Oryzias latipes: one gene and its partner. The protein of the gene in region 2 interacts with the protein of the main gene of each other region in a biochemical or structural test. Links are inferred from orthologs where the notes say so. Each region holds a gene or a part of one and is shown on either strand. Other genes may lie near its edges.

Region 1 (4,833 bases), on a different chromosome or scaffold from region 2:
GCAAGTGGCCCAATAAAATCCTTTACACAAATATTTCACATGTTTTTCATATTTTGACTCATAGAGACAAGGGATAGAGATGGATTCTCCGGGCTTCACTGATGTTTCTTTGACTGTAGTTATGCTACAATAGCAAACTCCTGCAAAAATAAAAATAAAAAATGTATTCAGAGGGGAACCATTAGCTATTCCACAATTTGATTCAAACCAAAGACTTTTTTACATTAAGTCAAGACAAATAAGTACTTTAAATAATTTAAAATAATGTGAGAAGCACAGATAGTGTAAGCCATGTTAATTACAAAAATAAAAGTAAATGTTAACGATTCTTCTTACCTGTTAGACCAACAAGTATCAGAAAACAATTGGAAAGAAAGATCATTTTACGCTGTGTCCAAATTCCCACTCTAAACCCTAACCATTTAAAAACGATATGAGTAGTGAAGGACTTCAGACAGAGTCACTGATGGTTAGAGACACGCAACAAAAACTGATGCAATGGATCTGTCCTTTAACTGAATTTCTACTTCCCCTTTTTTAAGCCAATAACTACATCTCTAAGCTGTTTCCAGCAATTATTTAAACAATGACAAATAAGATAAAGAGTGCCTGGCAATGGGAAAATGTTCTGCAGAACCGTTTAGATGTAAACCCACTTTTATTCAGGGTGATGTTCACTGTTGCTTTTTTGTTTATTATTGTTGAAGTTTATTTCCTAACGAATATTTCCGTAGTATTTTTCAGCAAGTACTAAGTTTTAAAACAAAAAAGTTTCTTTAATTTTGAAAACATTCTCTGACAGATCTCAAGTATGATTTACTTTTGCAGAAAAGAATTTTAGAAATTGCCAGTGAAGAACAACAACAAACAAAAAATTAAGAAAAACCTTGTCAAATAAGATTAATATGATTTTGTTTTCTACAATAGTGTGGCAATGATAAAGAGACACGTCTTGTCTTTTGAAGGTGAAGCTTTAGTTTAAAAAAGGCAAATCTAACAGACTGCAGCTGTTAAAATCAGTTAGATTATTATCTAAAATGTGAAGAAATGTTCTCATTTAAACTCATGTTAAAACCTTTGTCGTAATCATCCCAACACAGACATTTCAACTGAAATATTTATGCTGACTAATTGACTCAATTGAAAAAGTATTTTTTTTTAACAAAACAATGCTTTTTGGAAAATGAAATGCATTTAGAAATGCATCCTTCCTAACCATACATTTTTGAAAGTACCTAAATGTACCCTGCTGTCTTAACTTTTGTGTTTATTCTAACAAAGTCTCAGTAATAAAAAATAAAAAGAAATCCCCTTTTACCCCAAAATATTAATTATTATTTAAAAAAAATACCGGGATAAGCCCGCGTGCATGAGAAACAAGCTGGTTTGTTTCTTAAATCTTTCTTCTTTTTTGGGAGTTTGGTTCATAGATAGATTTATAATAAAAAACTTAAGATTCTTTAAAAAACAACATTGATTTGGGACAACAAGAATTTTGTGGAAAAATATTATGGTCAATCGTTCCCGCATTATTTTTCTTTTATTGATAAAAGTAAAACATGTTATTATTATCATTATTATTTCTTGTTTATATTTTCAATAAAGTTAAAATAAAAAAAACGATCGTCGCCTGTTGATGACGTTTTTCCAGAGGCAAATTTGTCTGCCCGAAATATAAAGCTATAAAGCCGAATGTTTCCTGTACAGATCGGGTAGCGACAGCGACAGTCAACTTTAACTAAACAGGTTATGGTTAAAGTTCAAACCCGACCATGAACTAGTCACACACATTCAGTGGACGCATGCGTATTTAGTCGAAAAGGCTACTTGTCTTCGATTATCATGGAGTACGGAAAGGAGAGGGTGGTGGCTTTGGTGGACATGGACTGCTTCTACGTCCAGGTGGAGCAGAGGCTGAATCCAGCTCTGCGGAACACCCCCTGTGTGGTGGCGCAGTACAAAACCTGGAAGGGTGGCGGGTGAGTTCCTGACAGACTACTGAGTTTGGAACCATCAGCATAGATCACAGACGCGGTCTTTCGTGCAGCATCTCTTGCATTCAGCCGTGAAAACAGGAAGTTAGTTACGTCTGCCTCTATTTAGTCCAGGCTGCTCATTTAAATCTGGTCTACTTAGGCGGGAAATGTGTGTGGCATTTACTGATATTACTACCACAAGTAGTAATAATGAATGTTTATTCAAAATACAAAACGTCTCTTACTCTGCTGCCAGACTTTAACGGTTGCTGGCTTTTTTTATTTTTATTATTATATCAGTATTATAGCTGTCAGCTATGAAGCCAGAGCCCACGGTGTAACCAGGAACATGTGGGTGGATGATGCAAAAAAGCTGTGCCCGGATCTGCAGGTGGCTCGAGTCCGTGAGTCTCACGGCAAAGCCGACCTAACCCAGTAAGTCGGAGTCCTTGAGGGTAACCCACCTCCTGTCTGATGAGCGAAGGCTACGTGTACGAGCGCCCTCCGTTTGCAGTTACAGGGATGCCAGCGTGGAGGTGATCGAGGTGATGTCTCGCTTTGCCGTGATCGAGCGAGCCAGCATCGATGAGGCCTACATGGACTTGACGGCTGCCGTCCAGCAGCGGCTGAAGACCACGACTGAGGAACAAATGAGCCCTTGCCTCCTGAAGACCACTTACATTCAGGGGTATCCTCAAAGTGGACTGGATCCTCCCTCCGCAGATGCATCTCCAGAAGAGATGATTTTATATAAAGGTAACTTCTGACCTAACTTTAGGATGTATTATTCCATTTCTTAAGATTGTTGGTTGTTTTTCTTTTTAGACCAGAGGTAATGAAGGGGTTCGATTGTATTTACTCATCATTTTTCCCTGCAGAGGAGCTGAGATCCAAAGGTCTTCAGCAGTGGATGGAATCCTTACCTACGCCCTCATCAGGGGAGCTGAATTGTGCAGAACTGCAGCTGACCATGGGAGCGCTCATTGTTGAGGAGATGAGGGCTGCAGTGGAGAAACAAACGGGTTTCCGTTGCTCCGCAGGAATATCTCACAACAAGGTAGAGCCAAATCTTTTTTTCTGCAAAATCAGTAGCAACAGTTTAAGGTTAGCTTTCTTTTTTCAGGTCCTGGCTAAGCTCGCCTGCGGTCTGAACAAACCCAACAGACAAACCGTCTTGCCTTTGGAATCTGTGACGGAGCTTTTCAACTCTTTGCCCATTGGCAAGATGTGAGTCTAAAGCTTCACTCCAATAAAAGCACAATAAAAGCAAATGGTGACGCTGCTCTTCTTGTTCAGTCGGAACCTGGGGGGTAAGATGGGGGCTTCGATAATTGAAACTCTGAAAGTGGAGAACATGGGAGATCTCACTCGCTTCTCTCAGTCCCAACTGGTGCAGCACTTTGGAGAAAAAACAGGGTAAGAAAGCCACTGTTGTGATATGTCTGACCAAGATCACTTTTTTTTTTTTTAGATATATGCCCCCCCCCCCCCCCCTCTTTTTATTGTATTTGCATCTCTCTGTTTGCAGCCGGTTAAGTGACGAGTAAGAACAATAATCTGCAATTTTGAAATGTTAGATGCTTTGTCTTTATGGATACAGTTGTTTTTTAATTCAAATGATTAGACCTTCAGAGTTGAAAGACTAATGGAGCAAAACAAATGACATGTCCTAAAATCCAAAAACTAAACCATAAGCACAAAAACTAAATGACAAGAAAATGACACAAGTTCAGATATAATAGATACATATGGCTGTCATTCATAGTCAAAAACAAAAGAAAAGGTGACTAAAATCTATGAAATGGGTCAATCACACCTTCTGGATCTCTGTTTGCAGCCAGTGGCTTTATGACTTGTGCCGAGGGGTCGAGTCTGAAGCTGTTAAGCCCAGGCAGCTTCCCAAGTCTATTGGCTGCAGTAAAAACTTCCCTGGAAAGACGTCTCTAGCCACTAAAGAACAGGTAGAGCCGCATTTATTGCATGTTCCATCTCGTTGTCTGAAATTTGTCCCCTTCAATGCAACAATGAATGATCTGTGTAGGTACAGTACTGGCTTCATCAGCTGGCCCTGGAACTGGAAGAAAGGCTGAACAAAGACAAAGAAACGGTGAGCCTTTAGTTTTGTTTAGTGTATTTCTGATGACGTTCTAGTTGTGAAAGCTTATTATTTTTGTTCCTTTGCTCATAGAATGGTCGAGTGGCTAAGTTGTTGACGGTTGGTGTGCGTCAGCTTGGTGATAAGAGGCCCAGCAGCTTCTCTCGATGCTGCGCTTTGGTGCACTATGAGGCAGCCAAACTATCTAGTGACAGCTTTGCCATTATCAAGAGCCTCAACACAGCAGGAAACCACCAGGCTGCATGGTAATTTGGGGGGAGCAATGCAGTGGGACAATAAAACTGCAGGTTGATTTATTTAATAAGTGTGTCTTGTGTCTCCAGGACTCCACCGCTCACCTTGCTGCACCTCTCTGCTAGCAAGTTCAGCGACGCGCCGTCGTCCGGGGGGATTGCCGGCTTTCTCTCAGCCGGCGTCGCTCCAGGCCGGAGCGTTTCCGCCACCTCTAAAGTCTCAACTCCGCAGGCCTCTGAGCTGAAACAAGACTCTGCATGTAAACAGCGCGGGAGCATTCAGGCCTTCTTTCAAAAGGCACCAGTGAAACAGAAAGGGGTTAGGATGGATGTAGAGGAGGAAATTCCTCCACTTTCTGGTACTAGTCCAACATGTACTGATGACAGTCAGCTGCAGACAGCGGCCTGCTCCTCAGAGAGTTTGCCTCAGTCGAAGCTCAGTTCAGGCTTCTGTTCTTTTTTTCATAAAAAGACTCTGGAAAAAAGCAAACACGAACCCCAAAATAAT
Region 2 (4,810 bases):
CACCCTTGTTAATGAGCTGATCAGACAGGTGTGTGACTCACCTGCAGTCTTCAGCTGACGTCAGTCCTCCTTTTATAGGCCTTCCGCCACCCTCCCACCCCTAAAATCAGGGTTTGAATATAAAACTGCTCTTCTGTCACGTTGTTAATTTTTATAAAATCAATTGTAGATTTTGATCTGAAAACAGAAATATTTATTTCTCCTCCCGACTTTAACAAAATTTAAGAAACTTTAAATGCAAGAAAACTGATCAGCAATTAAAAAATTACCAAAACACAAAAAATGTCCGTGTCCGGAACAGTTAGTTTTAAAAAAAAAGTAAAAATTATGTACGACTGAGTTTTAGGGCCAGTTTACAAAAAAAAAAAAAAAAAAAAAAACTTTAAAGTCGTGATTAAAACAAGAGGAAATATTACCATGAATATTCCTAAATTTGTTAGAAAAAAGTAATCCGCAAATTTAGGATAAAAAAGTAGGACTTTAAATCTCGTAATACTACTTTTGTTTTGGGTGGCCCTAAAACTCCATCATAATTATGAAATCATATTGCATTCATTTGAAAAAGAGAATCTGAGGTTTTTCGGGATACTTTTGTTTGCGTTTTTTTTCCCCAGTGGATCGTAAGATAATTTTTTTTTTTAAAGTGTATTGCATTCAATTGTAAATGAAAAAAGATCATTCAAATCTTTTCCACATTTTCATTCGAACATGTTTAAGAACTACAAACAGGCTGGGCTCTAACCTCATCTGCTCATGGAAATTATAAGATGAGCAGAAAATGTGTTCTTCTTTTCTTTTATAATATGTTTTAGATTTTTTTTTAATACATGAAACGTTTTTTGTGTTTGTTTGCTTGTTTTAATTAAATGCAAAATGTTTCCATACTTTCATACTATGGAAGCACTTGTGTCTCATAATTAAAAATGAAAGTCAGTACCAGAAATGCCTTTTCATTTTCACAACAAAGCTGCGTTTGTTGACTTTGTTTGACAATTCAAGAAGAAAAAGAAAAAGCAGTTTGGCAGATTGATTTTTCATTTTATTTTTGAGTTGACAAACGCAGCTTCATTGTGAAAAGGAAAAACTGTTAATCTGTTAATCCATTTTAATTGTCAAATTAGATATTTCTAGTTGAATGTTGATACACATTTACTAGAGAACTTTTTGAAAATGAAATGTCAAACACCATTCTCTTTATCCTTTTATTAAAGGTGACAGATTAAACTTTGTTGAAGAAACGAAAATGCCGTTTGGCAGATTGATTTTTCATTTTCTTTTAAATAGATAGATATAGATAGATAGATAGATAGATAGATAGATAGATAGATAGATAGATAGATAGATAGATAGATAGATAGATAGATAGATAGATAGATAGATAGATAGATAGATAGATAGATAGATAGATAGATAGATAGATAGATAGATAGATAGATAGATAGATAGATAGACAACTTTATTTATCAATGGGGGAGGTTCCCGCATGGAAATTGACATCTCCATCGCATACAGCACTGGTTGACATACGTATATGAAAGAGCAGTACAGTATCCAGAAAAATTAGAACAGTAAAAACAGTAACAGTTTAAATATCTGCAGAACAGCATATACAAAAAAAAGTCATTCAGGCCCTTTCCCTTTCCTTTTCTGTCCCCCTCCCCCTTTAAGTCAACAAATGCAGCTTTATTGTGAAAATGAAAAAGCATTTCTAGTACCGACTTTTATTTTTTAATTATGCTACACAAACGCTTCCATACATGGCTTTCTTAAGGAGGGGGGAAATAGGAAATCCAGGTTCGTCTTCCACACCAGTTGGTGGCGGTAATGAGCTTCTTAGCTGTTTTGGCGCCGCTATTTCAACCACAGAAGAAGAACCCTGGCTGAATCTTTTACACTTCAGATGTTTTTACAAACTTTAGACTCATAAATAAAATGGACAGCAGCGATGAAGAGATGGACGGAGACGATGGCCAGTGGAGGAGCCAGTTCACGGGTCCAGAAGAACCCGCCACTTCCGGTAAACTCTGAAGCTTTAAGCTAGCCCGTGTCGGAGCTCGCGGCTGTCATGAACTTCAGTTGTGTCTCCGTTTTCAGGATGGAGCGTAAATAATCCTCCAGGAGCTCCTCACAGAGTAATTCTCCACTTTGACCTGGACTGTTTCTACGCTCAGGTGGAGATGATCAGAGATCCTTCTCTGAGGGAGGTTCCTTTAGGTAAATTCTCTGTTTTAGGCAATTTTCCACCGTTTTCTTGTTTCTGCTGCAGTTTTCTTTTTTGATTTCAGATTCCCGCCTTTCATGGAGTTTTTTTCTTCTTCATTTTATTCCATTTAGATGACATTTTACCGTTATGACCATTTATGGACATTATATAATTGCACTTCCCCACTAAATAATAAATTTATTTCCATTTGACATTTAATATTTAATGGATTAAGTGTAGTTTTTAATATTTCTGTGTATAATTAAAGGTAATTATAATGACCTCATTAACATGTGGATATATTTATATGGAGATTAATGTAGGCTACATGTGTGTCTATAAATATATTTGTGTATATTTCTATACCATCTTTTTCTTTAAAGGTTTTTTCCAGTTGTTTCATAGCAAATAACCCTAAGTTCTAATGTATTTATGTACAGATAAGTATTTATTTAGTTTACTTTTTTCTGTTTTAAATTCCAGATTAACCGCACTAGAGCAATCTGGAATAAACTGGATTAAAGCAAAAACACAGGAACAAAACTTTGTTAAACATAAATGTATAAACTTAATTTAAAGGACGAACAATACATTGTAACAGATAGGAAATCTCAGAGCAAAACTCAGTATCCAGGTGTGACTTAGTTATATACCTCTTAGAATTTAAAGTTGCTCAAACGATGACGTCTGTGTCCTCAGGCATCCAGCAGAAGTACATCATCGTCACCTGTAATTACGTGGCGAGGGAGCGCGGCGTCACCAAGCTGATGTCTGTAACCGATGCCAAAGAAAAATGTCCAGAGCTGGTTCTGGTCCGAGGAGAAGACCTGACGCTCTACAGAGAGGCTTCCCATCAAGTGACAGGCAGGAATCTGGAGCCGTTCTTAGGCTAATTAAAAACAGATCTACAGGATCAGATTGTGGAGAAGAGCGATCCTGAGACTCTGATTGACTTTACCTGCCGTTTTCCTCCTCTCAGAGCTGCTGTCGTCTTTCTGTCCTTTGGTGGAGAGACTTGGCTTTGACGAAAACTTCATGGACGTCACAGAGATGGTGGAAAGGCGGATGAAGGAGACGCCGCCGCCTGAAGGATATTCGTTTTCTGGACACGTCTACAACCCTTCCAGTGAGTTGGACTCGCATCGCTGCTGCAAACCGTCGCTGTCAGGAAACTGAGAGGAACTTGCAAATCAGGATATTTGCATGAGAATCTCGGTTTCTTTCCTGCAAGCGGTCCGTTTTTTGCAGAACGCCATGCCTCTGTGCAGACGCAGAGATCAGCGGCAGCGACCACCCGCGGCTGGCTTTGGGCTCCTACATCGCGGCCGAGCTGAGGGACGCGGTCCACAGCAGACTGGGCCTGACGGGCTGCGCCGGCGTCGCCACCAACAAGCTGCTGGCCAAGCTGGTTTCAGGCACCTTCAAGCCCAACCAGCAGACGGTCCTGCTGCCGGAGGACGTCGGCCACATCATGGAGTCACTGGGCGGAGTTCGGAAAGTTCCAGGTACGGAAAGATGGCCTCCTAAAAAGCAAACCTGTGGCGTGTTTGAGAAACTGTTCAACCTGGACGCTGCCCTCAGGTGTGGGGCATCAAACGGCTAAAAAACTCCACCAGCTGGGCGTGGTTAGCGTGAAGGACCTGCAGCTCCTCCCACTGCCTGACTTGGTGAAGGAGTTCGGAGGCGCTGTTGCTCGGCGCCTGAGGAATCTCTCCCTGGGTGTTGATGACTCACCTGTCACCCCCAGCGGGGCTCCCCAGGTGAGTCGGGACATTCGCTGAGCTTCTGACAAAAATACAGACTTTGATTAGATCAAAAAAGTAAAATATATACCACACAGTTTTTTTTCTTTTTTAAATGACTTTAATATGATAAAACGAATGATATCTGATTGAACACAGACAAAGGAAATGTGTCAGTTCTGGTTGTTTTTGATCTCAGTGCGGCATTTGTCCATTGGTAATTTCACATCTGAGCTAGCAGAAATTATATGTGGAGTTCCCCAAGGCTCCATCCTGGGGCCACTTTTTCTATTTAGCATTAACATCAGGGCTAATATATATATGTACATATAGTTTATATTTATACTTTTTCTAAAGTTTTTATTTGAATAATCACCCCTTTAATATTCTTGTTAAATATTTCTTTAAATTTTTTTGCCTGGAATTATTTTTGATCCCAAAATCACCCGAGTTAACGACATCATTTTTACTTTTCTTACAAAATAAAAGTCTTGTTTCTGTGATTCTGATACTTAAAGAGTTTCATTGTTGATTGAGGAGCAAACAAATAGATTTATTGACACTGTTTTCTATTACATTATTTTCTATATGATTTTATTTTATTGAGGTTCAAAGGAGTGAATGAAGAACTGAAGCTTCATCTAAAAACTCCTGTCGTGTTTTGTGCTTCAGTCTCTCAGCGATGAAGATTCCTTCAAGAAGATGAGCTCCGAGGCCGAAGTGGTGGAGAAGATCCAGCAGCTCCTCAGCCGTCTGGTGGAAAGGTCAAAGCAGCTCCAGCTGCCCTCACCGCCCACCATGTGCCAGCGCTTTGCTCCTCCTAACATTTCGGTCTTTTATTTTGGCGAAAAAGGATGCAGAAGGA

The links.
Region 1: the proteins of poli (region 2) and polh interact in far-western blotting, tested with the Homo sapiens proteins (2 studies listed by BioGRID). The link is inferred for Oryzias latipes from reciprocal best matches to the Homo sapiens genes POLI and POLH.

What each region holds. Positions count from the first base shown.
Region 1 is NC_019873.2:20,691,570-20,696,402, reverse strand, and holds the start of polh (DNA polymerase eta), read left to right. Parts: upstream 1-1,634; 5' UTR 1,635-1,842; coding exon 1,843-1,979; intron 1,980-2,276; coding exon 2,277-2,411; intron 2,412-2,490; coding exon 2,491-2,732; intron 2,733-2,854; coding exon 2,855-3,033; intron 3,034-3,099; coding exon 3,100-3,203; intron 3,204-3,272; coding exon 3,273-3,392; intron 3,393-3,813; coding exon 3,814-3,937; intron 3,938-4,017; coding exon 4,018-4,083; intron 4,084-4,164; coding exon 4,165-4,337; intron 4,338-4,415; coding exon 4,416-4,833. Other genes in the region: uncharacterized protein LOC105355791, read right to left, coding at 1-140, 337-382. UniProt on the Homo sapiens protein: DNA polymerase specifically involved in the DNA repair by translesion synthesis (TLS). Due to low processivity on both damaged and normal DNA, cooperates with the heterotetrameric (REV3L, REV7, POLD2 and POLD3) POLZ complex for complete bypass of DNA lesions.
Region 2 is NC_019867.2:1,943,724-1,948,533, reverse strand, and holds the start of poli (DNA polymerase iota), read left to right. Parts: upstream 1-1,804; 5' UTR 1,805-1,932; coding exon 1,933-2,017; intron 2,018-2,094; coding exon 2,095-2,214; intron 2,215-2,856; exon of another isoform or gene 2,857-2,902; coding exon 2,903-3,067; intron 3,068-3,182; coding exon 3,183-3,329; intron 3,330-3,471; coding exon 3,472-3,708; intron 3,709-3,784; coding exon 3,785-3,963; intron 3,964-4,617; coding exon 4,618-4,709; intron 4,710-4,798; coding exon 4,799-4,810. UniProt on the Homo sapiens protein: Error-prone DNA polymerase specifically involved in DNA repair. Plays an important role in translesion synthesis, where the normal high-fidelity DNA polymerases cannot proceed and DNA synthesis stalls. Favors Hoogsteen base-pairing in the active site.